4 linked regions of the Alligator mississippiensis genome follow. The protein of the gene in region 4 interacts with the protein of the main gene of each other region in a pairwise test. Links are inferred from orthologs where the notes say so. Each region holds a gene or a part of one and is shown on either strand. Other genes may lie near its edges.

What was found.
Region 1: the proteins of TAX1BP1 (region 4) and CXXC1 interact in binary tests that used the Homo sapiens proteins (3 or more experiments, as listed by UniProt). The two-hybrid records come from large-scale screens. The link is inferred for Alligator mississippiensis from reciprocal best matches to the Homo sapiens genes TAX1BP1 and CXXC1.
Region 2: the proteins of TAX1BP1 (region 4) and PLEKHN1 interact in binary tests that used the Homo sapiens proteins (3 or more experiments, as listed by UniProt). The two-hybrid records come from large-scale screens. The link is inferred for Alligator mississippiensis from reciprocal best matches to the Homo sapiens genes TAX1BP1 and PLEKHN1.
Region 3: the proteins of TAX1BP1 (region 4) and LGALS8 interact in binary tests that used the Homo sapiens proteins (3 or more experiments, as listed by UniProt). The link is inferred for Alligator mississippiensis from reciprocal best matches to the Homo sapiens genes TAX1BP1 and LGALS8.

Annotation. Positions count from the first base shown.
Region 1 is NC_081831.1:27,528,983-27,536,848, forward strand, and holds the start of CXXC1 (CXXC-type zinc finger protein 1), read right to left. Parts: upstream 3,001-7,866; coding exon 2,984-3,000; intron 2,752-2,983; coding exon 2,539-2,751; intron 2,065-2,538; coding exon 1,964-2,064; intron 1,536-1,963; coding exon 1,393-1,535; intron 1-1,392. Other genes in the region: synaptonemal complex central element protein 1, read right to left, coding at 6,052-6,128, 6,299-6,365, 6,639-6,702, 7,782-7,866. UniProt on the Homo sapiens protein: Transcriptional activator that exhibits a unique DNA binding specificity for CpG unmethylated motifs with a preference for CpGG.
Region 2 is NC_081836.1:9,515,044-9,522,060, forward strand, and holds the start of PLEKHN1 (pleckstrin homology domain-containing family N member 1), read right to left. Parts: upstream 3,010-7,017; 5' UTR 2,969-3,009; coding exon 2,775-2,968; intron 1,057-2,774; coding exon 957-1,056; intron 1-956. UniProt on the Homo sapiens protein: Controls the stability of the leptin mRNA harboring an AU-rich element (ARE) in its 3' UTR, in cooperation with the RNA stabilizer ELAVL1.
Region 3 is NC_081824.1:153,842,925-153,850,628, reverse strand, and holds the start of LGALS8 (galectin-8), read right to left. Parts: upstream 3,002-7,704; 5' UTR 2,765-3,001; coding exon of another isoform or gene 2,762-2,764; intron 1-2,761.
Region 4 is NC_081828.1:155,583,185-155,590,557, forward strand, and holds the start of TAX1BP1 (tax1-binding protein 1), read right to left. Parts: upstream 3,010-7,373; 5' UTR 2,892-3,009; intron 1,024-2,891; exon of another isoform or gene 908-1,023; intron 232-907; 5' UTR 225-231; coding exon 48-224; intron 1-47.

The sequences.
Region 1 (7,866 bases), on a different chromosome or scaffold from region 4:
ATGCAAAATAAGGGAGCATGCAGAGACCCGACCCTAGGATTTACCCTTAACTCTGTCCACCAATCAAGTGAAAGAGAAGGGAGCCAATCAGAGATGCTGACCAAGGTCTGCCCTTAACGCTGCCTGCCAATTAGGAATGAGATAAGGGAGCCAGAGAAGCTGGCCAGGGTTTGCCCTTAACGCTGCCTGATGTTCAGATGTGAAATAAGGTACCAGAGACTGAAACCCCACAGTTTACCCTTAACTGTGCTGACCAATTACATGAGGAATAATGGGCCAGAGACACTGGCCAGGGCTTACCCTTAACTCCACCAATGGAGTGACACATAAGGGACCGTTTAAAGAGGCTGGCCAAGGCTTGCCCTTAACTTTGGCTTGTTATCTCACATCCGATTGGTGGGCAGAGTTAAAGGTAAATCCCAGGGTTGGCCGAGTGGTCCCTTATCTTGACTCTGATTGGGCTAAATTAAGGGTAAGCCCTGGACAGTGTTGTTGATTCCTTTATCTCACATCTGATTGGTGGCAGAGTTAAGGGAAAACCATGGGGGTGGCTCTCTGATTGTCCACCAACTGAACGAGATAATGAAACCAATCAATCAATTAGAGAGGCCAGCAAAGGTTTACCCTTACTCTACCCAGCAATCAGACATGAGATAAGGAAATTAGAGTCACTAGCCAGGGATTAACCATAACTGTCCAACCAATAACAAAATAAGGGCCCAAACAGAGAGCCATCCCCAAGGCTTACCCTTAACTCTGCCCACCAATATGATGCCAGACAAGAGGACCAATCAGAGACCCAAGCCCAGGATTTACCCTTAACGCTGGCCAATTACCGCATATCCACTCAGAAAGGCTGGCCAGAGCTTCTCCTTGACTCTGCCCACAAATTAGATGGGACCAGAGACCCAAGCCCAGGGTTTACCCTTAAATCCACTCAATCACATGACAGCTAAAGGGACCAATCGGAGGCTGACCAGGGCTCACTCTACCTCTGTCCACTAACCAGATGCCAGATAAGGCAGCCAATCAAGGACACAACCTCAGTTTCCCCCTTAACTCTGCCCACCAGTCCAATGCCAGATAAGGCAATGAATCAAAGAGTCAATGCCAGGGCTTACCCTTAGCTTTTATGTAGTTGAGGAGAGTGAAGTTAAGGGCTGGCCAGGGCTTACCCCCTTAACTCCACCCACCAACCAGGGCCTGGATGGCAGTTGGAGCCAGTTGTTGGTTCCTGTCCAGACATGGAACGGGGGGGGGGGGGGGGGGGGGGGGTGGGGGGGGGGGGGGGCAGAAAGTTCCATAGCAAGCACCTAGAAGATGCTGTGAGGTCATTCCCTGCCTGACCTCACCTCCACAGGCCAGGCTGCACCTCTAGCCCTGCCCCCTCACCTTGGATCCACGGGCCTGGTCTATGCCCAGCTCCTGGGCCTTCTTACGCAGATCATCCTTATCAGGTCGGTCACGCTCATGGTCCCTCTCCTTCTCCTTTGACTTCTTGTGACGGTACCGGATCTCCAGTGATGGATCCTTCTCTAGGGAGAAAAAGAGACCCAGCAGTCTGGGCCGGCCCTCGCTGCTCTGCTCCACCCAGCTCCCCCAGAGAGAGCCCAGGCATCAAGCTCCTAGCACCTCCTGCTCTAACACTCCCAGCCCTCACTCTCCTCTCAGAGAACAAAAAAGCATCTGGGCTTCCAGCAGCCAATATTCTCAAGGGCCAGGCCCAACTCTCCTCCTCTACCTGGGGAGAACCCAGGCCTCTGGCTTTCAGCCCTACCTACTCTCACCCTCCAGTTCCCAGTCACCTCCTAGAGAATCCAGGTGTCTAGGCGCCAAGGCCCCTTACCCCACTACTCTCACTCCCCCCGCCCAAAAGAATCCAGGCATCCAGTTCCCAACCCCCCTGGTCTAACCCACGAGCCCCCACTGCCCTCCCAACGAACCCAGGCATCCAGTCCCTCACCACGGCACTGTAGGCAGTACCACTCCCGAATGGCCTTGGCCATCTTCTCCGTGATATTGATGCAGTCACCATGGAACCACTCATTGCAGTTGTCACACCCACTATGGGGGGGCGGGGAAATAGAGGAGCAGGAGGTGAGACCCTGCCAAGGCCATGCCCCCCACCCCAAATCCCTGGCCCCATCCTAATCCTTGGTTTACACCCAACCCCACAGTCTTCCTGCAATGGCACAGACCCCAACCCCATAGTCTATCCTTGTGGAACAGGCTGACCCCCCCCCCGCCCATTTCCAACATCTCTGGCCCAATCCTATGGCTCCAGCCCTGCCCCCCACCCCCACCAGCCAAGGGCACAAGCCCCACCTCCATGGCTCAGGCCCCGCCCCCAAAGCCCACCTCTGGGCAACAGGCTCCCCTCAAAGCAGAGATTGCCCCCAATCCTCATGCTCCCCCCACACACAGGCTCAGACCCCGTCCCCACCCTCACGGCCCTCCTCCTTTCACTCAGACCCTGTCCCCAGGCTCAAGGTCCGCTCCCTACTGCCCCACGTGGCTCAGGCCCCGCCCCCCGCGCACATCATGAAGCAGTTGATGTCGGGCTTGCGGCAGATGCAGTAAACGGCGCGTTTCTCCCCATTTTCCGAGCGCGTCTCCTCGCTCGCCCCGGCCGGCTCCGCGTCCGAGAACTCGCTGTCCTGGGGGCGAGGCAGGGTCAGGGAACCCCGGTGTCCAGGATTCCCCTGCTCCGACCCCCCGCCCCCGAGAACCCAGATGTCCGACACACCCCTCCTCTCAAGAACTCAGGCGCACGGTCTCCTAGCGCCCCCCTTCACGGGAATCCAGGTGTCCGAGATGCCCCCCCAACTCCCAGAAAACCCAGGCATCCAAGCCCCAGCCCTTCCCCCCACCCACACAACACAGGTGTCCGGGACCCCTCACCATAGCTGCCGCTGAGGGTCCCTTGTTTTGCGAGGAACCAACAAAACAAGGGACTCGAAAGAATCTCTGACTTCCGCGGTACTTCCGCTTCCGGGTCATCCTGCCTGCCTCGAACCCCTCCACTGATCATCACCCAGCGCCTAGTCGCTCCTCTGCCCTCTTCAAACATGGCCGAGGTCTAAGAGCGGCGAAGGGACCGGACTCAAGGTGGCCGAGGGTGCCCGCCTTCAAAATGGCCCCTCCTTCCAGCAGAAGCGCTCCGCTTCTCCACCCGCACCAAACATGGCCGCCACCGCTTCTACTATGTGGCCGTCTGACTTATGACACTGCGGTGTGGCCATCTTTGATTGTGTCAAGTACCAGACACGTTGAATCGAACGCCACCCAACGGATTGGACGGATTGAGTCAAAGAAAGAATGATTTGAGGGAGAGATGGATTCAGAGGTGTCTACAGGGAAGGATAGATGGATGGGTAAATAGAGGGAGGGATAGAACGGGTGTAGCGATGGAGAGATGGATCGGGGTTGAGTATGGGAATGGATGGAGATATGGGGTATATATGGGGAAGGACAGATGGCTAGAGATGCAAAGGTATGGGGGGAGGGGCATGTTTAGGGATTGATGAAGAGATGGTTCCAGGCACGGCTGTCCTTAGGCAGCGGGCAAGCTGGGGCAGCCACCCCCAACCCGGCACTTTGGGACCCCCACAGAACTGGGCAGAGCGGCCACGGCAACTGAGTGCTGCTGCTGCCGGCTTCATGTCTGGCTGCTCGGAAATCCCCGACCCCCCAAATCCACCACCAGCTTCTTTGGGTCTAGGGCGTGCAGGGGCAGGGCCCTGCACAGGCTGCACCCTGCTTGGGTCATCTCTGGTTCCAGGGATATGATGTGGATGAAGGGAGGGATGGATATGGATCTAAAGGAGTGTATGGGGATGGATGCTCAACCCCCACTCCCCTCCCTAAGAACCCAGGTGTCCAAGCTCCCAACCCTGCCAGCTCTCCCTCCCCAGTACCACCACTCCCCTCCCAGAGCAGGAAGAGAACCCAGGTGTCAGGGCTATCCACCCTTCCCATTCCTGCCCCCAACAGCAGTGAGAAGATGCTGGGTGGGTGATGGCTTTATTGGTACCAAGCTGGAGGGAGGACGAATGCCCAGACAATAGGGGTTCACTCCAACATAGGGTGCCATCCTGGTGTCACGCAGCCACCTTCTGGTCCCTGGTGCCAGCTGTGGGCAGATTGGGGGGGGGGGGGGGGGGGGGGGGGGACAAGCAGGGTACAGGCACCCAGCTCAATGGGGGCCCAGCACTGGACTTGCCCTCCTTGGTGGTCTGCGACAGAGAAGGTCCTGCCCCCCACAGTTCCATCCACCTGCACCCTCATCCATCCATCCCTCCCTCCCTCCCTCCCCATGCACACCCGTGTCCAGGCATCCCCTCATCCCATACATACTCCTGTGTCCATCCCTCCCTGTCCATCCCTATACATACTCTTGTGTATCCATCCATCCATCCCTCTTCCTCCCTCCCCTCATCCCCCACTCATCCATACCTTCCAAACATCACCCCCCCACATCCATCCCTCTACACCCCATCCATCCCCATACACACCCTGTATCCATCCCTCCCTCTCTATATCCATATAAAACACCCCTATAGCCTTCTATCCATCAATCCCTATACACACACACACACCTGTATCCATCCATCTGTCCTTGTACACACACCTGTAACCATCCCTCTACCTGCCCTATAAACATCATTCCTCCATTCCCCCCCATACACACCCTTGTATCCTTCCCTCCATCACCTCATCCACCCATCCATCCCTATACACATCCCCCCACCCTATGCCTCCATCTCTCTGCCCATCCCCATACACATCTTGGATCTACTCTTCCATCCCCACCCTAATCCTCAGCCCACATGCCTGCTGGTGCTGCTCCTCCACCCCTGGCCCTCCAGCTCCACCTTCAGCCTGGAAGGAGGAGGGGGGCGAGTATTAGAGAATGCATCCACCTCTGGAGAGGAGCCAATCCCACCTCACCCCACCCTAGCTGGGATGCGGCAAGAGAGGCTGCCAGGCTTGGCCACCAGGGCTGCAGCCTGATCTTGCCAGGAGACCCCAGCTCTCACAGCTGGAAGGGAACCCAGGTGTCCAGCTGCCCAGGCCCCTCTGCTCTCCGACTCCCCTCCTAAAACTCAGACAGAACACCGGTGGCATCTGGGCTCCAGCCCCAGGTCTCCAACCCACCAAGCCTACACTCCTTTCCTGGAGCTAGGGAGAACCCAGGTGTCCCAGCTCCAAGTCCCCCTGCTCAAACCTACCAGGCTCAACTTCCCTCCCAGAGCTGAAAAGGACCCAGGCACCTTCCAGCCCCATTCTAACTTTCCAGGTCACACTCCCCTCCCAGAACTGGACAGAACCCAGGCATCCCTCACGGTTGCATCGCTGCAGCCCCTGGCAGTGGCGTTGGGTGGCAACCTCCAACTGGGAATGGGCACCTTGGTTCTCCTGCTGCAGCAGCTGTCTGGGGAAGGGCAGAGGGTGAGCACCAGACATCCTCCCACCCCACGCCAGGGTGCCACATCTGGCATTGTATATGGGGGGCCGGAACTGCCTTCTAGTCAAGCCACAGAGCAGAACCTAGGCATCCAGACCACCTGCTTTCAACCCCAAGCTCACACACCCATCCCAGAGAAGCCAGATGTCCTGGCTCCCAGTCCCCGCTGTTCTCACCCACAACCCCCACTCCCCTCCCAGAGAACCCAAGCATTCGGGCTCCTAGTCCCCCCTTCTCTCACTGCCCAGTGAACCTAGGCATCCAGGCTCCCATCCCCTGCCCATTCCCAGCCCCCACTTCTGCCTCCAAGATGCAGTGGGAATCAAGGAGTCCTGGCTCCTACCCTCCCTGTAAAACACAAGACTCCACACCCAGTCAAAGACAGAATCCAGGTGTCTGGGATCTAGGCTGGGGGGCAAAATGACCCTCAACCTTCCCACTTCTGATACCTATTGGGAGAGAACCCAAGCATCTGGGCTCCCAGACCCACCTGCTCTAATCCCGCCAGTCCCTCTTCTCTCCCAGGGAACCCAGGCACTCACAGGGCAGCACTGGCCTCCGGGCTCTTCAGGAACCTCCTCTCTTCACGGCGCCAGCCCCAGCCTGGGCCAGCACATACAACTTTGCTTCAACTGCATCAGCTTGGCCTGGATCAGTTCATCTGGGCCAGTGGGGAGGGTGTCACAGGACATGCCAGGTGCTGTACAGACCCCCCCCAGCTGGTATCAGGGGTACCATGCACTGTACAGACACCCCAGGCCAGGATCAGGAGGCATCAAGTGCTGTACAGACCCCTCAGGCCAACATCATGCCAAGTGCCCCTTTGCTCACCTTCTCTCAGCAGCCGCTCCCAGCTGTCTGACATGTTCTGGATCTCAACAGCTAGCTTATCCATGGTCTGAGGAGAGGGGGAATTAATTAACTCTGGGTTAATTACCCAGGGAACTCACGTGACTGACTCCCTGTCTTCTCAGAATGGGGAGAGAACCCAGGTGTCCAGGCTTCCAGCACCCTGTTCTAACCTACCAGACCCCACTCTATTCCCAAAGCTGTTAGAGAACCCAGGTGTCCTGGCTCCCAACCAACTAACTGGGCCTCACTCCCTTCCTGGTGCTGGGAGAAAATCCAGGCATCCGGGCTCCCCATGAGGAGACCCTCCCATGTCTCTTACATGCCCTTCCTGCAGGGTCTTGTGCTTCTCCATCAGTTCATCCAGCTGCTGCTCAAACTCCAGCCTGAAAGCAGAAGAGGGGGTGGCTGTGGGGTACAGGAATTGTACCCAGCCACGGCCAGAGATGCCCTGGAGTGTGTGGTATGGCAGGAAGTGAGGGGTCAGCTGGGTGGGGGCACACACATACATGCACATACACTCAGAACCTAGGTGTCTGGGTCACACACGTGTGCACATGCACAAAATGAGCCCAAGGCATCCAAGCATATCACATACACACACACTGACCCAGGTATCTGTGTCTCACATACACATGCAGAACCCAGGCATCTGGGTCACAAACACATACACAAATGAATCCAGGTCAAATACACACACAACTGAGGTGTCTGTGACACACAGAGAACCCAGGCATCTGGGTCACATGCACTCACACAGGACCCAAGGATCTGGGTGTCTCACACACACACACAAATGAACCCAGGTGTCCAGGTCTCTCTCTCTCTCCGTCTCATATACACACACGCATGATCCACATGTTCAGGTCACACACACACACACGCACGCACAGAACCCAGGCACCTGAGTCTCTCTCTCATGCACACACACTAGACTCAAGCACCTGCCACACGTGCGTGCGTGCGCGCACACACACACACACCCCCCGCCACTCATGCAGAAAAGACCCAGGCATCTGGGTCTCTCTCTCACATGCACACACAAATAAACCCAGTGTCCAGGTTTATCACACATACACATGCATGCACAAGCCAGGCATCCAGGTCACACACACACACACACACACACACCCACCCACCCCCAGGCATCTGGGACATACCCATGTGTGCACTCACACACTGAAGTGTGTGTAGGAATGCAAGACTGACTAGAGCTGGGACAGAACCCAGGCATCCAAGCTTCCAGCTCTAACCCACCCATCCCAAGTGCACTCCCAGAGCCGAATAGTACACGTGTCCTGGCTCCCAGCCCCTCTGCTCTAACCCACCAGGCTTCAAGCCAGGAAAGAACCCAGGCATCCGGGCTCCTGACCACCCCCCACACTAGCCCTCCCAGTGCTGGGGAGACAGATTTCTGCCCCTAGCTTCCTTGTTAGCTAATGACCCGTGCCTCCAGGGGTAGCACCTCTGCTTTCTCTGCTTGAGGGTCTCCTCCTGGATGCCCATGGTGAGGTCCTGGATGCGCTGCTGCACCTCCTGCAAGAGGCCAT
Region 2 (7,017 bases), on a different chromosome or scaffold from region 4:
ACCTGGGACAGACAGGGATTTGCGTTCCCTACATAGGTGACAGGTGCCTCTTGACTCTGGGGGGGGCACCCACAGAAGCTGCTGCAAGCAGGGATGGAGTTGGCGGTGTCAGCAGCGGGGATAGCCATGTCAGGGTAGGGGGGGGCACATGCCCCTCTGTGCCCCTCCCTACCTTGCACCTATGCTTCCCTGCACCACCTCATTACAATGCACCTGTCTAGCAAAGGTCTGGCCTGGAGCCTGCAAGTCCTCACTTTTGTTCCCAGCATTGCTACTGACCTGCTGTGCAGCCTGAGGGGAGAGACCGTTTCCCCTGCAGCTCTGTTTTCCCTGCCCTGGGCCTGTCCTGCCTTTTGACACACTCAGCTCTATGGGGTCAGGGACTAGCTCTCATAGAAGCCCCCCTGCAATGGGGAGACATCTTTGTGGGGCCTCAGGATGCTGTCGTAACACAAACACGCCAGGACTCAGAAGCTAAGGAAACAGGGCTGGGTGGCATGCCAAGGACAGACTTCCTTCTGCTTCTCACCTTCCCCAGACTTATTGCTAATGGCCTGGGTGCTGCCTCTCATTCCAGCGTGGGAATGAATCATCCTCTCTTTTGTGTGTTCTCTATAATTTTCCTCCTGTTCTTACTCTGCCCAGAAACAAGAGCAGCAAAGGAAGAGCAATACATTCCCAGCTGGCCTGCCTCCCTTGCTCCCAGCCCCGCACCCCTATTCCAGATGGGTCAGGTTGATGGCAAGGCTTCCCAGTCCCCACCCAGAGGTGGCTGCACCAGAATCCCAGAGCAGGCAACCCCCAGGAGCTGGGACTGAAGCCATCTGTTCATTTGGTCCCCCTCACACAGAAACCCTTATCCGCCTCGCATACACAGGTTCCCACGCACAGGTAAGCCCTACAGCGGGCCAGAACACCTTCCCAAGAACATGACGACTGGATGTGTTGGTACTTGCCTTGCCTGGAATATATTGCAGTATTTTGTCTGTGGTGATCTCTCTCTCCTGTCCTGATTCAATGCCAAAGAAGCTGCTCAGTTTTTTCTTGCTGTCTTGTCTACAAAGAAATAAAACACTGAGATCAAAGCTAGCAGGGAGCAAATTCCTCAGAAATCAGGGAGAAAGGGAGAGTTGGCCATCCTGCAACCCTCCCCAATAAAGGTCTATAATTAGCTTGCAAGAATGTTAATTGCTTCTCTGCAGCACTTGTTGGCTTTTCTTTGTGTTGTTTACTTACCTTTGCATAACTAAATGCTCAAGAGTTTATCTCCAGCACTGTGCAGATAACAGAGGGGGCAGCTTGCAGATAGATCCAGTGGGGATGGTCTTCCAACAGCCTTCAAGGTGGGGAGGGATGGATCAGATCCTCCCAGGGCTCACCCCACACCCATACCCACCCACTTTTCTTTTCCTCTTTGTGCCTGCCCTATCTCATCCTTCAAAACTAGAGCAGAGCTCCATCCTTCCTGCTTGGTACCTGCATCACAAGCACACCTGTGAACATGCATGGTGGCAATGATCTAACATGCATCTCGAGCAGGGACTCATGGGCTGTTTTAGCTCTCCTAGCCAAATGGCAGCATGAATGCTCTCAGGACCAAACTGTCACCTGCAAGGGGCTGGAGTGGAGATCCCATAGTGAAGGCAACATAACCCAGGGATGTCAGGGGAAGGGGAAGGTACTTGACACCTGACATGGTTCAACCTTTTCACTGTAAGCTTGTGGCCAGCTCTGGTGGGTCTAAATTCTCCTCTCATTTATACCTGCATTAGCCCAAAGCAACTCCCCTGAATGCTGTTACCTGCTCTACACTGGTATGAAGGAGAGGGAAAGCAGGCCGGAGCAGACCAACAGGGGTTGGGGATAGCATCCCAGAGCGGGGGTGATTCATGCCACTGCTCTCACAGCGTTGCCATTTGCATCTTCAGACAGTGATGGGGAAAGAAATTGCAGCACTTGACAAAGCTAACGCCCCGGCTGCAGCCCAGAGCTCGCATTTGGGGCAGAGCCCTTTGCAGATTCCACTTCTCTAGCAAGCAGCAGCACAGACAATGCCAGGGGGACTGAATGAGCTGGCACGATTGCAGAGGTGGGCAATATTTGGTAAGCGCAGGCTGCAGACTCAGATTGGCACTGCCCTCATTTGGGTTTTATGCTGTTGCCCATCACCCTCATGTCAGGGCACCTTGCAGGGAAATCAGCAGCACAAGTCCCTCAAGGGGATGCATCTGGAATGGTTTCCCTTTAGGGGTTAAACAAAAAAGCACAGCATGAATCCAGTAATTCAAGCTGCCTGGATTTGGAGCGTTCCCCTCTAAACCAGCTCTGATGCTGGTGCCTGCAGTCGCTGACATTCTTATCCGCTGATGAGGCAGTGCCGGAGGTCTTAGGAAGAAATAAAAAAAAATAAAAAAATCTCGGGGAAAAGGAAGGACAGCTGTTTCACTGTCCCCCACGAGTGCCATGGAGAAGTTTTCATTTCTAAAATACAATGGTATAAATCACTGTTGCATAGAGGAGGCAACAATATGCAGCCGCTCGCCCTCCAGAGCTCCAGAAGTCCCACTCTGGCCCTTGCCCTACCTTGATCTTGTTCACAGCTGTCCAGCCTCATGCAAAACCATGCAGAATTCATATTTGCTAAGCCCGAAAGCAGCCCCTGGGTGCCCTGAAACAGTCTGGGTTACTAGCCCAGTCTCTGCTGGTGTACTGCAAAGGGGGAAAGCAGCAGCAAAGCTTTAAACCCAGTCCTAAGTAAAAGCGAGCATACTTACTCTTTCTTCAGCGAAGGTTTCCTGCTGAACGAGTGTCTGAACGAGTGTCTGAATCTCCCAGGTGGCTGGGGAACACAAGTTATGTTCCCCATATTGAGAGCAACTGGGATAATCCAGGAGCAGCTGGGAGTGAGAGCGCTAGGCAGAAACTGAGCGAGCGAGTGTGGAGCCAGGGAAGTTTGTGAGTGTGTCATGCAGACATTCCCCACTTCCGTCTGCAGTGACTCTTGTGGGTGTGATCTGTGAGCAAACAGACTTTTGGCCAAAGGCTGTTACTGGGTTCCCTGCCTCCCTCTCCCTTCCCCTCTCCACCCCCGCACAGGGCTGGTAGCGGGGAGCTTTGCTATGGAAATGGGAGGGATGTTTCAGGTGAACCAAAGTGTTTGGAAGTACCTGTGATCTTCCCAACTCAGGCTGCGGAGGAGGGCAGAGGAATTTGGCAGGGAATTGTAATCACTCTTAGACAAGGAGGATTCTGCACAATGAAGCATTTACAACTCACAGTTGACATCTGATCCCTAGCCAGATCCCTCGACTAAGCACCACAAAAGCCACTGAGGCTGGCTGGAGGCAATATTTCAGGATTGGGGCCTCGAGCGCACAATGGGTTTGGTGCCTGTGTTCAGATCTGCATTTATTTTTCTTAATAGTGTCTCTGTTGGCAAAACCTACTGCATTCACAGAAGTGCTTCAAACAGTTGCATCTTCAGACTCAAAATGTGGTGCCTCCAGCCTGGGGGAATTCGAGCTTGGACCTCACCTGGAGCGCCAAAGAGGAAATGATCGCAGAATTAAAAAGGTGTCTGAAGCAACCATGACTTGCTGACGTGTTATTTGCAAACAGAATAAAGTCCAAGCCAGCAATCTATGGACCTCGCATCTTCAAAAGGGCTGGCTTTTTCTGCTGAAAACAGTTTTGAGCCAAATCAGCTGAAAGGAAAGGACTTAAAGAGGAACAACAGGGGGGATTAATGAGGAACTGTTCCACAACATCTTACTAAATGCTCAGACAAGGACAACTGAGAAAGAAGTTTGCACTGGTGAAAAAAACCCACCCTGGCTTACAGGGGAAGTGAAGGTAGCTAAACCAACGAATGAATGGGGAAAATTGGTAACATTCCTTATGAAATGGAAGCAACAAGGGATGGCCAAAAATTGATGAGGGAAGCAAAAGGCCACAAAGGGGAATGAATGGTCTGCAGAAATGAAGGACTGCAAGTGGGAGGTATATTAGGTATATAAGGAATCCTAACAGTGGCACTGGTCCATGACTAGATGGAAATGGTAGAAGTGTCAATAATCATTCCAAAAAAGTTAGCAGTGCTGAATAAATATTTCTGATCTGCCATTGGGGAAAAAGCAGATGTAGTCATATCACATGATAAAATACTTTCCATTCCAGCAGTAACTTGGGAAGATGTTAAAAGACTATGTGTAAAGCTAGACATTTTCAACTAAACAGGTCCGGATATAACTTGCATCCAAGAGTTTGAAAAGAGCTGGCTGAAGAGCTCTTGGAACCACTAATGCTGATGTGCAGTACTACACTGGAGAAGTCCCAAAGGACTGGGAGACAGCTCCTCTCATGCCAATATTTAAAATTATATCTATAGATTGGCCGGCCTGACACCAGCCCCAGGCAAAATAATGGAGCATCTGATAAAGGACTCCATGAACAAAGAGTTCAGAGAGGGTAATTAACACTAGTCAATATGGGTTGGAGGAAAATAGGCCTCGTCAAATAACGCAGTATCTTTTTTTTGGTGGAGAAATGTTCGAAAACAGCTGGGAGCATTGCTGGGGCACTGAGCTGGCAGGGATCTTTCAGTTTTCTTTGGAGCCACCTGTGAGCTTTTCTGCTCAGATGTGGAGGAAGGTAGAGGAGCAGAATCCAGGCTGTGAGGCACCTGACTTGTATTCTGCATGGCAAGTGATTGAGAAACCAGCACGTACATATTGGCATGGCACAAGAAGAACTTAAAAACTGCCTAATGCCTCCCAGTGTCATTGGTAATGGGGGTGCTTGTGGGGCCTTACAGGGGTGAATTTGGATTCCTATATTGTTCAACAGATTGGTCAATGCCCTGGAAGGAAACACAGGGCACATCTACACGTGCACATTTACTGCGCAGTGACCAAAATTACTGCACAGTATGGGCACACGTCTACATGTGCACGCCCATACTGCATAGTAAATATGGTGACTTATGCTGACTTGAGCGTAAATTTGACACCAGCATCATGCAGGTATCAAATTTACGACCAATTAGTTACTGCGCAGTAAAACACATGTAGACGCCTTACTGCGCAGTAAGACTGTGTGGGTGGACTGACTTGGGATTAACTTTAGTCCCAAATCAGTCCACACACAGCGTTAATGCACTTTAACATCTGCATGTGTAGATGCCAGCCTATTCCGGCTTACTGTGCAGTAATTTACTGAGCAGTAAATTTAAGCCAGTGTAAATACACATGTAGACATGCTCACAGAGTTGTTGCCAGTGCCTTTTTCAGATGACACTGAAATGGAGAGAATGACCAGAAATGAGGAGGGCAGGTTGCTGTTGCTGGAGCATTTGGCAGGCTGGGTCCATGTGTGTTCCCGTATTGCCAAATTAAGTCCTTTGTCTAAGAATAAAGTATACCAACTACCCTTTTTGGGGAGGGGTGCGGGGTGCTCCATCCAGGGAAGCAGCGACTCTGCGAGAGTTTTAGGTCACAGTGGATAAGGCATTAGACATGAGCTCTCACGTCAGCCTCCAAGAGATCCATGGAGGTGTTAACACAGGAATCACAAAGGGAGCAAGGAGCTTACATGGTTGCTTCTGGATCCACCCCCACAAGGACACTGGGCCCAAGTTTGGTATCTGCAGTTCAGGGAGGAAGCAGAGAAACTGGAGAAGGTGCAGAGAAGAGCCATGGTAATGACTCCAGGGATGGAAACCTGCCTTGTAAGGGAAGATGCAAGATGCTCAATCTATTTTGCTTGTCAGAGAAGAGACCAAGGAGTGACCGGATTACAGACTTTAAGGACCTGCTTGGAGAACAAACATTGGATAATCATCTAGTTGACGAAGGCAGAACTAGGTCCACTGGCTGGGGTTGAATCTGGACAAGTTTGAACTAGAAACAGGGCACAGCTCTTTAAACACCGAGAGCAATCCATCACTGGAACAACTGACAAGGGGCAGCAGTGGCTTCTCCATTACTGGAAATTATTATACTCAAGGCTGGTGTTTTTCTAGCGGTTAGGCTGAGGTCAAACAAGAACTGATTTAGGGAAGTCTTCTGGGCTTGAGTTATACAGGTTACATTAGGGGATCACCATGATCCCCTGTGGCTTTGTAATCTATTCATTTCCCTATATGTAATTCAGTGCCCTTATGTTGTGGGGCTCCACTGACAGGTTCACAGACACTTGAGAAATACACTGTGTTGCAGGGCAGGTAAAAAATTTGACTTGTGGGAAAAGACTGGGTTGATTGGTTTAAAGAACTGGTCCCTGGTGTGGGAGGAATCAGGAGTGAAATGGGTGTCAGTGGGTTACATTAAAAAAGGCAGGACAGGGTGGGGTTTCTGCAGGGCAAGGCAGGAATAAAAGCATTTTCCAATGCTGGGCTCCACTCTGGAACAACCTGATAATAACAAACCAGGCTTCAGGAGAAACTGCCACAAGGCTGTTCCTGGAGCTGCAGTGCAGGCGCTGGGGACGAGCCCTCCTATAACAAACCCACATAGAAGGGTGTCTTGCAAGGCCAAGATAATGGCAAGGAAGAGCGTTGCAGCTGCATTCATCCAACTGCTTATTGCAAACAGCAGCAGCTGATTATTGCAGCTGGGGAAAGCACCCTTCTTCTGCTAAGCGATTGTGGCAGTTTGATCACATCTCTGTTCAGCAGCCTGCGCTTATTCTTAGTAAATCCTGACAGCCCACGAGAATGACACAAATGCCCCCTGTTCTTGTAGATCCTGCAGACAGATGCAGCTGTACTCTGGGGGACCTTTGTTTCCAAGGCACCCCCACACTGGAAACAGTGTGCATGCATTGGTTTTGGACACCTCTAATTTGCTGGACTAAACAACAGTTCCCCAAAGTCCTTTTCACTCTCATCCCAGTGACAGGAGGGCTTCACAGGGGCGGCAGCAGATGGGCTTCATGCTTTGGAAAGCTTTATGCAACCAGTGGTTATTTATAGACAATGAAGACCAGAGTGAGAGCTTGGACAGCAAAAACAGAGCGGGC
Region 3 (7,704 bases), on a different chromosome or scaffold from region 4:
CTACACTCCATTCTCAGCAGCGGGTCCTAGCAAAAAAGGGTTGAGAACCACTGATCTAAGCATAGTGCCCTGCAGCCATGTTCTGCTAACATCAGTTTACCGGTTCCTAGCTCCTGGTGCCAGTCTCAGGAGTGACATCTGGCTTTCCCTCATTTCTTTCCAACCAAGTTTTCTTTCTAGGCTTTGGTTCCATCTCAGCTCAGCCTTCCTTTTATTCCTTATGGGTTCACCTGAATTGGACCAGTCTTCTTTGGGAATAGCAAGACCACTCTCAGGGCTGTGGCTGTGCTCCTAGTATTACTGCTTTAACAGAGGCCTAGTATTCCTTCCCCTAAAGTGGCATCCTCTAGAGCAGGTTCAGGACAGGGCTCCTACATAACACTGCTAATCCTCCAAGGGCACCTATACACGTGCTCTGAGGTGGGGAGGGGAAGGGGAGTGTTTTAATTAGAGCAACTCTCAGGAGCCGCTCCAATTAAAATGCCCACGGCATCTCATGGATTCAGCGTCCTGCTTTTCAAAATGGCAGCGGGAGCACTAACTAAAGTTCATTCAATGAATACACAAGATGCTGCAGCAAGCTGGAGCGTTCCGATTTGCACACTCCCACAGACTCAATTAATTCAAACACATCAGAGCACATGTAAAAGTGTCCAATACAGTGGTTTTCAACCTGTGGTCTGCAGGCTACATCTAAGAAGTCTGCAAAAGATGACTACGATCAATCAAAAGTATCTGAACACCGACACTTACAAATTCAAAGGGGTCTGCACCTCTATTTGAAATGTTTTAGGGGTCTGCAAATGAAAAAAGGTTGAAAACCACTGGTCTAATGAATAACATTTATCTGCATTTTTCAAGTTTGTAGTTCTTCTTGTGTCTCAGTATCAAAGAGACATCTTCCAACTGCACTATCTTCAGTAGGTACTAATGCAAAGCTAATCAGCATGGAAATTTAAAAAGCTGCCAGTTTATATACTTGCTGACCTAAATTAGGCAAAGTATGTTCACCTTGCATGTAAAACAGTGTTTCCCTATAGTTTCCAGACTTTCTCTCCTAACACATATGGAAAAAGATCTAATCATAGCTTGTAAACCAGGTTTACTATCACTTCCCCAGAATTTCATTTCTTCTCCTTGTTACTTAAATCAAAGCTCAGTTGCAAAGTTGCTGAATGTTTTGTTTACTAAAATGCCCCAAAACACAACATTTGCACTGTTAGAATTTGGTTAGGGTATCAGGATTTTGAAAAGCACCTCCATTCACATTCTCCCCTAACCTTCCATGGTGCTACTGCTGTTCAGAACAAGAAGTACAATTGGTTTATAATGCTGATGGATAATGATCACAAACAGCCCATATATGTATACATGGGAGGATCCCTTCACAGTCTTTTCCTGCCTAAGACCATGCTGATTTTTTGTCTATTTGTAAAGCACTGTTGGGCTTCACACACCCCAAATAGATCCTCTTGCACAGGTGAGCCACAGTGATTTAAAGTAGTAGTCTTCAACCTGTATTCCACTGGATTTCCACAATAGGTCGGCAGGAGTTCCACAAAGAAATGGGGGATAATGATGAAGCAGGCCATAAGGGAGTGTGTTGCCATTTCTGGGCTGGGTCTCCTGGCTCTGCATCAGCTCACACACCCTGTAGCCAGGGGTAGGGGTTCTACAGAAGAACAAGTGGCATGAAAGTGTTTCACTATTTTAGGAAGTATGAAAACCACTGATTTAAAGGACCTTGCAATGGAGTCTTCTGGGGACACTGTGAGAACTGTTGAACTAGCTCTATACTAGCAAGATGTTCTTTAGCTAAAGCAACAAAGTCCTATTGCTCTGGAGAAGGAGGATCAAAGCAGCCACACTCCCATTTCCTTCTACCTCTTTAAGGCTCACACAAGACTTTCAAATAGGTATGTCCTCTCTACACCGTTTGGCAGACTTCTGTAATGTTTCTCCTCCCCTACTCAGTGGTGTGTGCTGTAAATAACCTTACCCTGTTTTTTCACGTGTAGCTTCATCCCCTGCTACCAAAAAAGGGGCTTGCTAAGTTATCACTCACAGCTAACTCTTGGCCTTGCCCTCTTCCCAATGCCCAGTCCCACAATAGTAACTTAACATACTCCTCATCCTTATCCATCATTTACAAGCCAAATAGCAGAGTCCTAAGAAGTTTCTGTAATTAGCCATTTACTAAGGACAACTAGAAGATGACTGCTTGGCTTATGGCTGCTCTGGAAGAGGCAAGCAGCAGTCTCCAGGAGAGACAAATGCCCCAAAGAGTACATTAAATAGATCTACACACAGTTTTTTCTCAAAGCTGTACAGTCAGGCAAGGAATTATAACAACCAGAACCTGTGCCTTGACTGTCCCATTTAACAAAATTGAAATATGCCCAATGCTCTGAGATAAAAACGTTGCATAGTTAGTAACCATCACCAATTCAAGTCAATCTTTTATCCAGTAACTAAACAAAATATGCAATTCAAAAAAGTATGGACCAAATACTGAAAACATACTGCGGTGAAACTATTTCCACCAGGAAGCTACACTTGCTGCATAGAAGACAACACAAAAAAGAAATTCAAAATACATGAAAAGTGGAGATTAAAAAAAAATCACAACATAGAAGCACCCTGAAGTAGTACATTCAAGAACCAGTCCCTCTGTCTTTAACCTGAAGTCCTCCCAATTGACTTTTTCCTAGCCTAAGCAGGGATCTGTTCTAGTAGTAAAAATTACAACCTCTTTACTTACCATGCTGTACCAGAAGTCAGCTTACAAAGGTTGCATACACACATTCAAGTAATCTGGGAGAATTCCCCTGGTAGAAAGACTTAGCTGGAGACACCTGAACAGATATTCAAACCCTGAACCCTTGAAGAGTAGAGATTTTGCAGTGTTGATGCTGCACAGCCAGGGGGATCCTGTGTACACATCTCAGCATGCTCTGAAGGCTTCCTTAGTCTGCCAGGAGACAAAACGGTAGCAGTACATGGGGCATCCCTGATTGGCTAACCTAGCCTGCTCAAAGTGAGTCTGTTTCCCAGCAACACGATGTTGGATTGCAAAGGGGGCGTGTTTTGCAACCTGCTTGGCTGCAGCAGCAGAGTGTACCGAGTGACACACTGTCCCCTGAGGGGAGGGAGCAAAGCACCCTGGGATGCTGAAGGTAGAGTTGCCACTGCCACATCCCCAGAATATAAGACATCCCCCTTGGTGAGGGGTGGGACCACTGGCCCCTTTGGCCAATCAGCGGTAAGTGGCAGGACAACTGCCTCAGCCAATCAGCAGCAAGGGGTAGGGCCACTGGGATCCTCCACCTCCCTCTATCCCTGGCTAGTTCCAAACCCTGCTCCTCCTAGCTGTGCACTGCCCTACTTCTAGGCACAACCAATAGAATCACAAGGACAAATGCTTGACATGTATCTCCACCAATGAACTGAAAAGCAGGAGTTTTTGCAATCTGTTCCTCATTCAGAAATGCATAGGAGACAAAGGGTTTAAAAACAGGACAGTCCGGTATAAGAATGGTCACCCCAGCTGGAGGTCAATTCTGTGGCTTCTCAGAAGAAAATGCATATAAACATTCACTTTCCCAGGAGAAACTCTGTTGGGAGCGATTTGACCCTGGTTGTTCCCAGGTTATTTTTGTCCTAGAGTGTCCATTTTTGCTCCGAGAGAAAAATCCTAAATATCTGTATGCTTGTAGTTTCTCCTGAGAGGGCAGGAGAAAATGATTGTCTGTATGTGGCCAAAAACATGCATGTTCTTGAATATACTTCCTGCAGACAGACGTAGAAAGATGGCTGCTGATTAGGTATTACTTTTTTATGTTACTAAGGTAAGAGGCTCAGAAAAGTTACTTTACTTTGAAAACTAACCTTTTATTCTTAAAAGGTGACCAGCAGCAGGCTAGGCATCCATCCCAGCATCATACTGCTTTCTTCATGCTATTTCTAACTCCTGAAGGGAGATTTTATTTCAGAAACTAGGGATGTCATTGTCAGCACTCTATCCAGTTTGAGGAGTTAGAGGAAACGTTGTGCATTTTGCCTACTCATCTTCTCTGGGTTCATGTAGCTAAATAAGGTGCTTCATTACATATTCTGTACCTTGTTATCAGCACTGTACCTAGACTCCTGGTGGCCCCCGGCAAACTTTTAGTATCAGGTCCCCCTTCACCAGAGATAATAATAATAATTTTTAAATAACCATTTTGGGCCCTCTTTCTGTCTGGCCCCGGGTGGCCTCTTGGTTCGCCCAGGCCTGTGTCTGGCCCTGCTTGTTATGGGATATAGTTGTTGCACTCCATACTATTTACATGAAAAAAGAGAACGGTGATGCTTGGCATAGGTATATTGCAACGTTTGATGCATTTGGCTCCTTCCCATGAGAGATGTCATGTGTCTAATTTGTTACAGTTGCAGAATGGAAGTGGCGAAGTGGCCATCGGTTCATAAGGAGAAAGCATAAGACAAGCTTAGGGAGACAAAGCCTGGGTATGAAGATTTTAATTTGGAAAATTAGAACTGAGTAGATGAATTGTGGTTCATTTGGTGCAGACAGAAAAAAAGAACTTTAACTTACTTGAGCAATTAATTTTTTTAGTCACTGTTTACCTGGTAAGAGACTATATATAGTATGTAGTTTTTTCCACAGTCCTGTGAGTATTTTGATTAAGATGCCAATTATATTTCTGAAGCAACAGTAGCTGCAAAAAAATACCGTTATCATGGTATAATTCACAGAACCTGAGACTACATGTTAACTACGCATCCATTACAAAGCCATGTTGAGATACCGATCTCCCCAGCAACAACAATAGAAATACAAGAGGTGAAAGATCCAAAAAGCATACTCTGAAAACATGCTTTTTAATAGGGGTAGGAGAAGACTCAGACAGAAGATCACAGAGGCTTCAAACTTTGACATCCAGCTGAGCTGAAATAGCAAGTAAATTGTACTTCTTCCTCCCTGGCTGTTTATATCACTGAAAAAAATGTGGCTTAGATGACTACATTAAGCTAGGACTTTTGCTACTGCTTTCTTAAAATATTGGGATAGCTTGTGTGACGGGCTGGCTGGTAATGACTTAGACCAGGGGTTTTGAAAGGGCAAAAGATGATTGGAGGACTTGGGATTCCCTTTCCTCACCAATCTGGTAATGATTTGGCCCAGGGGTTTTGAAGGGGTAAAAGAATTGGAGGACTTGGGATTCCCTTTCCTCACCAATCAGGCCCCAGAGACTCAACCTCCAGGTCCCCTGATTGACCCTGTGGGTCACCTGGAGGGAGATAAAAGGGGCAGCACGGCTGATTCAAGGGAGACCAGTGAGGGACCACAAGGAAGGAGCTTCAAGGAGCTGGCAAGAGCTGAGCCAGCAGGGCAGGAGCAGTTGCCCCAGAAGAGCCTGAAGGAGTGGGACCTGCAGGCAGCACTGGGGTCCTCAGCAGTGCAGTATGCGGCTGGTAGGAGAGGTTCCCCACTGGGCTCCAGCATCCTCTATGAGAGGCTGTGGCCAGCAGGAAAGGCTCTCCAGCTCCAGCAAGATCTGAGCAGCAACCTGAGAGGTTCCCAGCTCTGCTTCCAGCTCCTTCAATCAGAGCCCAGGCAGCTCGATGTGAGGCTGGGGCTCCAGGAAGGTCAAGACCCCTCGCAGCTGGGAGCAGTACCAGCACTGGTGTGGCAGACTTTCTGCCTACCATGTGGGAGATCTGCATTCAAGTCCCAGCTTTAGTGACTTGGGGTGAGTGAGCCAAGGAGAAATTCCTATTGCAGTGGGAAGGGGCCATTGTGTTTTCCCTCTTTCTCCCCCTCCAGGTACCTAGGCCCTATATTCCTTGTAATTTGATATTTTGTACCTTTTGTATTTCCAGTAATACCAACCAGTGTTGTTTGTTCTGCTGTTTGTGTTTTACATTTTGGTGAACCCCGTCTTTTGACAACTGGATGAATATGTCTATGATTGTAAGTGTCTAACCTTTGTTTAATCCTGCCCCTTTAGGGCATTGTAGTGTCCCCTATGCCCCCCCCTGGTTTATACTGGCTATGTTCCCAGTATTGTTCCCTCATTAAAAGTTATATGGTTAAGTCCCCATTGGTGGTCTAGCTCTGCTCTATAGGGGGAGGAGAGTCCCTACACCTCCCACAGCGCTTGTGCTCCTGCTCTGCTCCCTTCAATTGGAGAGGGGGTACCTCTTGGAGTACCACCCGGGTTACACTTGTAACCTTATGGTTTAAGATGTGTGTGCTTTCTTCCATTTAATTTATAGTGTCATTTGGAGAGAGAGCTTCAGGTTTGAAGAGTGAGAAGTTGGATGCTCTAAGACCTCAGCACCTTTCAGGCACTGGGATGATAATCTTTAGGGTTCCTTCATGCTGACAAGTCATGGCATATTCCTCAACCCACTCACTTTTGAGAGCCTACCTTGACCTTCTCTTTCCATTTCCAGGAAGAGATTTCTCTTCTGAACCATCAGCCAGAGGTACCAGTGACCAAAAGGCTCTTCCAGAGCTGTGATGTTACTGCCTCTGCTGTGAGTCACTTCTTCACAGCTTTTAAAGAGGCTGTTTTACAAAAATACTTCTAAAGAAGTAACTTAGCTGAAGTTTAAAGATGAGCTTCTATTTATACTGAAAATTCCAGCAATAAGACTTCTCTGTAAACCCTGACAGCCAAACTTTCCCCAGTCATTTCTGCAGTGTTTTTCCCAAAGCCTATGCCATTGCTTATTAATGCTTACAGAAGCAGTTATTAGCTTTCCACATAAAGCAGAGTCTGTTCTAAGAACAAGCTTAAAACCACTGAAGATGAAAATGAAGAAATGTGGGTGCCTGTCTGGCAGCCAGCCAGCCAGCCAGCCAGCCAGCCAGCCAGCCACCTACGAGAAACACCTACAATAGACTTAGCCAGACCATCCAGCAAATTAAGCTTTACAAGTAATAATTGCTTAACTTATCTAATAAGCACATTCAGTCACATTTCAGTTTTTGACCTATGAAAATTCATGTGTAAGATCAGAAAACTGCAAATATAACTGTCGTCAAACATGTCAGAATAGAAATTAAGACTAGACTTAATCCACATTGGTATATGCCGTTAATATGCACTGTCTGTGATTTAATTCTGTTAATTAACAAGTGTTTGAATGATCAGGATCAGGAGCGCTCCATTTCTGGAGAACACAGGTTTGCTCCAACATGCCCAGATATGTCCGCTCATGGCTAAATATGGTCAAACACTGCCTCAAAGTTTAAACCCCTATGAGCAAGTTTGTCAAATATTTTTACTGTGACTTATAAAACCTAGTCATCGCTTTAACAGATTCTGACTACAGTATTGCCAACCCTACCGTGTCAAAAATCACGAGACAAACTCTTAAAATTCAAGAGATTCGGTATGTAATTCATGAGATTATTTTTCCAAGTGTATGTGTGGCGGGGGGGAGGGGTGCTTTTATTTGCAAAGGTGTGGGTGTGTGTGGGGTTTGGAGGCTGGGGAGGGTGGCACACTCTGGCAGGATGTGGGATACTGTGGGTCAGGGCTGTGGCTTGGGAGTGAGGGGCCAGACTCACAGATGGGTCAGGTCACAGGTCATGCAACAGAGCCACAGGTGGCTCATCCAGAGGTGTGGGAGAGGGGGGTAGTCAGCTCCCCGCCACTGTGCGTACCCCTGGAGAGGCATGGGAGGCATATG
Region 4 (7,373 bases):
CATATTGGAGGGGGGCAGAGGGGGGAGAAAGAGTACCAATTGCTTACCTTGAAAATACCAACCCAATCTTTCTGGTGAGGATGGATATATTGTGTCAGAGTATAATGGCATTCAAGGTGTGCATTAGGAAGATAACTCTTTGCCACATTTTGAAAGATCACATGTGCAAAGTTGGAAGTCTGCAAAGCATTACTTGAAGATGGAACTTCTTGAAAGGATGACATGACTGATCTGTAACATAACAAAGTTATTATTTGAGAAACAATTTACTAGAAGAATACTTTTCCTAAAAGAAGTTAAACATTAACTTAGTGGAAAGAGGCATAACTTAATTTCTTAAGGTAAGCACTAAAAATGAATTCCTTCAATCACAGAACATCATCTACAGATAGCGCACAGACTGCTTCAAAGCACTCTCTTTGGCTTAGCCTACACCCAGAGTGACCACTTTCGGAAATGAAAATATAGTTTAATCTTGTATACCAAAAGAAATGCAAATGAAAGAGAGAGACCCATACAGAAAAAGCCACTCGGACAAGCATTCCAGACAGGTGCCTCTAAATCCAGAAAAGAATGGAATGCCATCCTTAGCATCTATTTCTGAATGCCAAGCAAAAGTGCCACTTACACGCAGGTTGGCACTCTGGTTCTGCATGTGCAGCCCTACATGTATGAATAGCCACGTATGCCAAAAATAGAATGCCAGCCTGCATGTGACATTTTTGGAATTTAAACACCATCAGGCAACAAAATATGGTCATTTGGGCAGCAAGAAAGGAAAAGACTGCCACCCTATGTGGAAAAACAAAGGAAATAAGAGGGCTCAAACACACACTTGACATTAAATTATGCTAGATATGTAAGAAAAGAAGGCAAAATAGATGAGGGATTCCCATAATCTTCTCACCCTAAAACTCCTTCTGGTTGTTGCTCTTCTAGATCTGGAAAGGAGACTAGTAGGGCTGATGTCCTCGCTATGTCATGGCAGAGAAAGCAGACGGGAAGGTGTAGTCCTTGACGTAGCTGAAACAGTACAATTATGGGTTTTTTACCCTGGTAAAAGTACTAGTTTCATTTAAGAGATTATTAACATCAAACAGTGCTTACTAACATGCATCTAAATGGGGTGCATCAAACAGCTCTCTACTTATCTCAACTACACAAGAGATTCTGGAGTCTCCCTATGCCTGAAGAGTGATTGCACCGGAAAGTTTGCAAAGAACTTGTTACACAAATTGCCAAATGTTACAAATATTTTCCCAACTACTGAACTGGTCTAATAAAAGATATCACATCTACCCAAAGAACCTGACCTGCCTATCTCCAGATAACATCCTTGATAACAGTGCTATATGAAAATGAGAGATAACAGACCTGAGTATCTACCCATCACCTCTCTTGTCTCTGCAAGTTTGTGTACACAAAGTCAAGCCCTTACCTCTCTCTAAATCTGCAAAGTTTCAAGAAGTTAAATGAATAGAGGAGATCAGCAACAAGAATGCACATTTTGTTGAAAACTATGATTAAATCAAGGCTTCGATTTTAAAAAATTCAAACATTACTCATCCATAGTTTCAAAATCAACAGCCCCACAATCAATGGAAATACCATCCAAGAGGACCCAGTCTAGCCCCCACTAAAGTACAAAGACTTAGAATCACCTCCTAGAATATTCCTGCCGGCTTGCTGGAATTCATTCTTAAAAGCCGGCAAAAAAGATAGCTTGTTTTTCCCCAAACAACACGCACAACTGGATTAACAGACATTGTTCTGTCAAGCCATGCAAGGATTTCTAGCCCTCAGCTCTTAAGCCTCTTACCATCTAATTTAGTATTAACACAAGCAAGTACTAAAAAACAAGGGCAAGTTCTTTTGGTAGATTAGATGTGAAACAAGCAGCAGTTTTCCGCTTTCATCAACACAAGCATTAAATAAAACCTGGAACTGACAGGGCTAAAACAGACAACCAGCTTGATTCCAATGTGAGCGTTGCATCTTAGAGGGAACAACAGGCCCTAGAGGGACAAGCCCACGGTTGGACATCAAGTACCTCTGAAGTACCTGAATTAACACTTTGCCTTAGAAAAAAGAATAAATTACCGTTTAAGCTGCACCTGTCAGCACCCGTTTTGATAGCAGTGATACCCTGAACCAATCTGCTGATTAAGCATTAAGGGCTGCCTGTTTATAGCCTTACAGTAATCCCCCTGGCCTAGGGTACAACCAAAACTTCACTGGACACAAATGAATAGGGACCTGCACAAACAGCCAACTGAGCAGAAAGGAAGACACTGGGGCAGTGCTAAAGATGCTGGGAAGGAAGGGACAGCTTAGGTTGAGCCACCCAACCCCAGCACCCAGAGTTTGGCAGGAACTTGGGTCCCTCCCACCAGCTTCAGCAGCGCCCAGCTGTGCAGGCCGCCGTCCCCGGTGCTCAGCAGCAGGCAGCTAGAGATAAGCCAGACCTGCTGCAAGGTCTGACAGGGAAACTCTGAAACAACAAACCGGCTCCCACCGGGTTTCGTATGACAGCGACGCAGTGCTCGTGGCTTTTGGGTCGCGGGGGGGGGGGGGGGAGAGCACACGGGCACTGCGGCGCCCGCAGCGTCACTGCCACCGCCGGCGGCTCCGGGGGGCCGGGGCGGTCACGGCGCGGTCAATGTCACCGGAGCAGCCGGTCGGGCCGGTGCCACCGTGACCCGGAGCCGGGGCGGCTCCCCCCCCGCTAGGCAGGAAGCGCCTGAGGACGCCCCCGCCCAACGCCCGTGAGGCGGTGACCCCAACCGCCGCGCCCAATGGCTACCACCTGCCCCCCCGCCCCCGGGCCTGCCGGGGCTGGCGCGGGGCGAGGAAGGCAGACTGCCGAGGGCCAGGGCAGTGCGGAGCCTCACCTGTGCGGACGTCAACACCGGGCCGTCGCCATCGGCTCCTCGCAGCCTGCCCCGCTGCGTCACTTCCAGCCCCGCCCCCGCGGAACCCGAAGGCGGGGCCGACTATGCGCAGGTGCCCCTCCCCCCTCGCCCGGCGCCGCCGCCGCCGCCACCACCACCACCACCACCACCACAGCAGCTGCGTGGCCCTGATGGCTAGCCGTGCGCATGCGCACTCCGCCGCAGGGAATTTGGGCTCACTGCGAACCCATTTTTCGTCACTTCCCTTTCCTCCTTCCCAGTCCCGAAACGCAAGCGGAACTGGAGAGGCGGGATAGAGAGGAAATTGCGTAAGCGGGCCCTGGTTTCCACCGCTTCTTCCTCTCGGCTCTCGTGTGCCTGGTGTCCTGTGAGCTAGAGCTCAGGCTTAGAGGACCGCGCATGCGTGGAGCCGGGCCATGGGCATAGTCATAGGGAAGTGGGGCTGGAAGGGAGCTGCAGAGTTCATGTAGTGACTAATCCAACCCGCTGTCTAACACAGGATCGTCTCTATCCAAGCCGTCCCATACAAACAGTCATCTAAACTTTACATAAAGGGTGCCCCTCTAGCAGGGCCTCTAGCCCCAGGGAGCCAGACTTAGCGCCCCTTCCTGAAAGCACAGATGGGGGACCCTAGGGATCCCCCCCACACACAAACATGCATATTCACCCCTAGCATCTACACACAGTCAGTGGGGAGCTAGCCTTCTGTTTCATGCTTCAGACCCCTAACACCCTTTGCCCCCACCAGGTGCAAACACATACAGTAACCTTGGTGAGTCACCCCCTAACTCAGCACTTCCCTGAGTGTGAGGGACAGCTTGTGTTTGTAAACACTGTGCTGAAGTTCATCACAGGTGAGAAGTCGACCTGTCCACTACCCCTGTAAGACACACATAGCCCACGGCACACACTGACCACACCACTGCACCTTTGTTCCCATGAACTTCACTTAGCCCTAAGACTTCATCACATGCTCACAGCCTGGCAACCAATACTTCACCCATAGTCATCCCACCTTCTCCGCTAAACATCCTTCCAAACCTATCCAGTAGTGAGGGAAGAGCAGAAATTATGCATTTGCCCAGATACTCCATAACATTGTCATATATCATCCATGGGGGTCAACTGTTTTTGGCAGGCATGGCATAAATTAGACATGCTTCCTCTCCGAGACCCACCCCAATTCCTTTGGGGTGTATATGAAGCAGTAAAACAATCTGTTTTAGGTAATGGGTTAAGAACCCATAGTCCCTGTTTAGACCATACTTAACACAATCCAATCTGTGAATGATTTCTTGTTCTGCAATTTTGTGTCTGAGTCAACTTTTAAAGTATCACTGTATAAGAACAGCTACTCTGAGGTTAGCAATGTAAAGTCCAGGAAGATTAAAGGCTTTTGTCCTTTTTTGGACTTGATGTCAAATGGGTGTTCTCTCATTGGTTCACAGAGGGGTTGCCTCATTTGTCTAATATAGACAGCAGAGGGGCACTGTAACCACATTGTAGCAGAAAGCCCCCTTTTTCTCTTGCCTGCATTTGCTCTCCCCTCTTTGGATATGTTTCTCTTTTTCTACCTTTTCTTCCTTCTTCTCTCTTTCACTTTAAGATAAGGAATTGTGTTTTAAAATGTGTGTGTGTGCATTTTGTATCTCCCCTTGTAGTTTGGTATTTTTATCTATTTGTGTGCCATGGCATTTGTAGCTTATATTTTATACTCCTCACCTTTCAACTTTCAACTGAATGTGTTTAGTTTCATAAGTAAATTATACATTGTAACAATGTTAACAAGGGCAGGAATCAAACTGCCCTTCCTTGTATCAGGCTGGCCCCTGAGAGTGAATCAGTGATTGAATGTGTAAGGTGATTGAATGTGTAACACAGTAACACCAGACAGCAATTATCACCTGGAAGCTGCAGATCAACCAAGGGAAGAACTCAATAGAAGACAATGTAACAACCGGGAAATCTCTAAACTTCACTGATCAAGGGCTAGAAGCCCTGGCCTGAGTTAATCAACGCCAGAGACCAACTTTTGGGCTGAATATCTCCAGATCGGCCACTCCCAGAGCCCTATTCTAAATTCATCAATGGACTCCCAAACCTGCACGTACATGTGGACGACCCCTGGGGCTGACAGATGCCATCCAGTAGCCACCGAGGGGGGGGGGGAAGTCCCACGAGGGTCAATGACCCCTGGATTGGGCAAACCTGAAAACTGGGGAGTCACCAAAGTCTGCCAAGGACAGATAAAAGGCAGTGAAAAGTGACCCTCAGTGGCGTCCTCTTGATCTCCAACTCAACCAGACCTGTCCAGCCAGAAGGACCAGCCGGTGACCCCCTTCTGGAAGATAACACCACGCTGAAAGAAGCCTCAACAACAGACTCCAGCGCTTGTAGGATAGGTATACCTGACTCTGTAGCCTGCTACTGTGTGTGTGTATGTGTGTGCATGTGTGTGTGTGTGTGGGGACCATCCCCAAGGTTTATGATTACAGTGTTTCAATCTGCCTAATAAACTAGAATTTTAAGGATCCCGAGTTGGACATTTGTAGCCAACAACATGATGACATTGGTAGAAGAACAGGTACATGAATCCCAGATGTTATAATCCCCCTTGTTTGGTCCAGTAATGATGTGATTCCTGTTGATGAGGGGGCACAGCTGGCATCTGGGTCCATTGCAGGGCCTGGTGCCTTGATGAGAGTAGGATTTAGGTAATCTGTTACTGGAGATAAATTGTTTGAGATTTGAGGGATGCCTCTAAGCCTCCTACAGCTGCCTTGAGATGGTTATCATTTTCCAGGAAGTATTGGAGGTCATTAATGTTGCATCCAAGGTATTCAAGTTTGTAGGTGGCAAGAGGGATTCTGTTGTCCTGCTCATGGGGTTGGTCCTATAGAAAGTTGGAATGGAATCTGAATGTGGCTTTGTTGATTTGCAAGACTACATTTTTTGGATTATGTTGTAAGTATAGGAATCCTTGCTTCATATCCTTGAGGTATTCATTCTGGTTGGTGGGATCAGAGCTAATATAGTTGTAACACGGAACTTGGCTATGAATGATGGAACTAGTGGTATGCTTAGGGTAAAAGCTGATGGTATAGAGGTAGCTGTAGCAAGCAGCCAGTTGGTTTCTGATAAAATGTGGTGGTGATGTTGACATTGTAAACTTTCACCATATTTTTTTAAGAAATTAATTTTCTAGGTGGAGTATTCCAGAGTCAGTTTGATGGAAGGATGAAAGTTATTACAGCCCTGGTGTCAGGTATCCAGGTTGTAGCCATATTGGCCTAGAGGAAAAAGCAATCAGGACTCGTAGTTGAGATTATATCTTTTATTAGACCCACAAGATTTTTGCAAAAAAAAAAATCTTTAAGTGCAAGCTTTTCAGCACTAATTCATTAATTTCTAATTAAAAAAAAATATTTTTTTTTTTTGCAAAAATCTTGTGGATCTAATCAAGGATATCATCTCTACTTTGAGTCCTGATTACTAAAGTCCTGGTGGAATTTCTCTAGAGATTCCTTTCCATGTGTCCACCTGATGATGTCATCAATTTTTTTTTTAGGCATACTAAAGAGATTAGAGGGCAGCTGTGAAGGAAGTGACTTCAAGGTATGTTATAAATATACGGGCATACAGGGGGGCGATATGTGTGCTCATAGGGGTGCCATGCATTTGTAGGTATAGGGAGTGTCCAAATCTGAATAGTCATGTATAAGGACAAAGTGAGAGTGTGATGGAAACAGAAGCAGAGTCATTTTGGGGGGCTATGTTCTTTATGACTTGTAATCCTTCTAAATCTAGTCAATCCTAGTAGATTTTGATTCATAATCCTAGTCTACCGTTTGTCACTAGATCATTTATTAAAACTAGAGGCATCTACTATTTACCCAAGTAGACCCTGGAAATACTGCCTTCCCTACACTAGCAATAAATTCCAACTAGATCTCCCTGCCAGAGGGATTGAGTGGCTAGGAACACTGAAAAGTAATCAGCCTCATGGACTTTGTTCAGCACATTTGTTACCGAAAAGCTCTTTTCCTCAGAACTTTATCTCTTTACTTTGAATGTATGTTCTCTTCCTTTTGTGGGTTATTTTGAGGAAGCATGATGATATGATAAAAGAGTGAGGTCATACTAGTCCTGGAATCAGATTTACATTTTGGTAAATACTTCCCATTTTTTTTTCGCATTTCTTATTTAATTAATGATCAGTTTAGACAAATATGCAACTGCAATTGGTTATATTAATCACAGAATCATGGAGAAATAGGGCTGGAAGGAAGGTCAGGAAGCAGGTCACCTAGCCCATCCACCTGCTCAAGACAGGATCATCCCTGACTAAAGCATCTGTGTCAAATGTTTGAATAACTTGCTCATAACATGTCTAGTAGAGATAAGTAGTCATGTTAATCTGAAGTCAGACAGAAGACAGGGCAGGGTACAAATTAGTCTCTA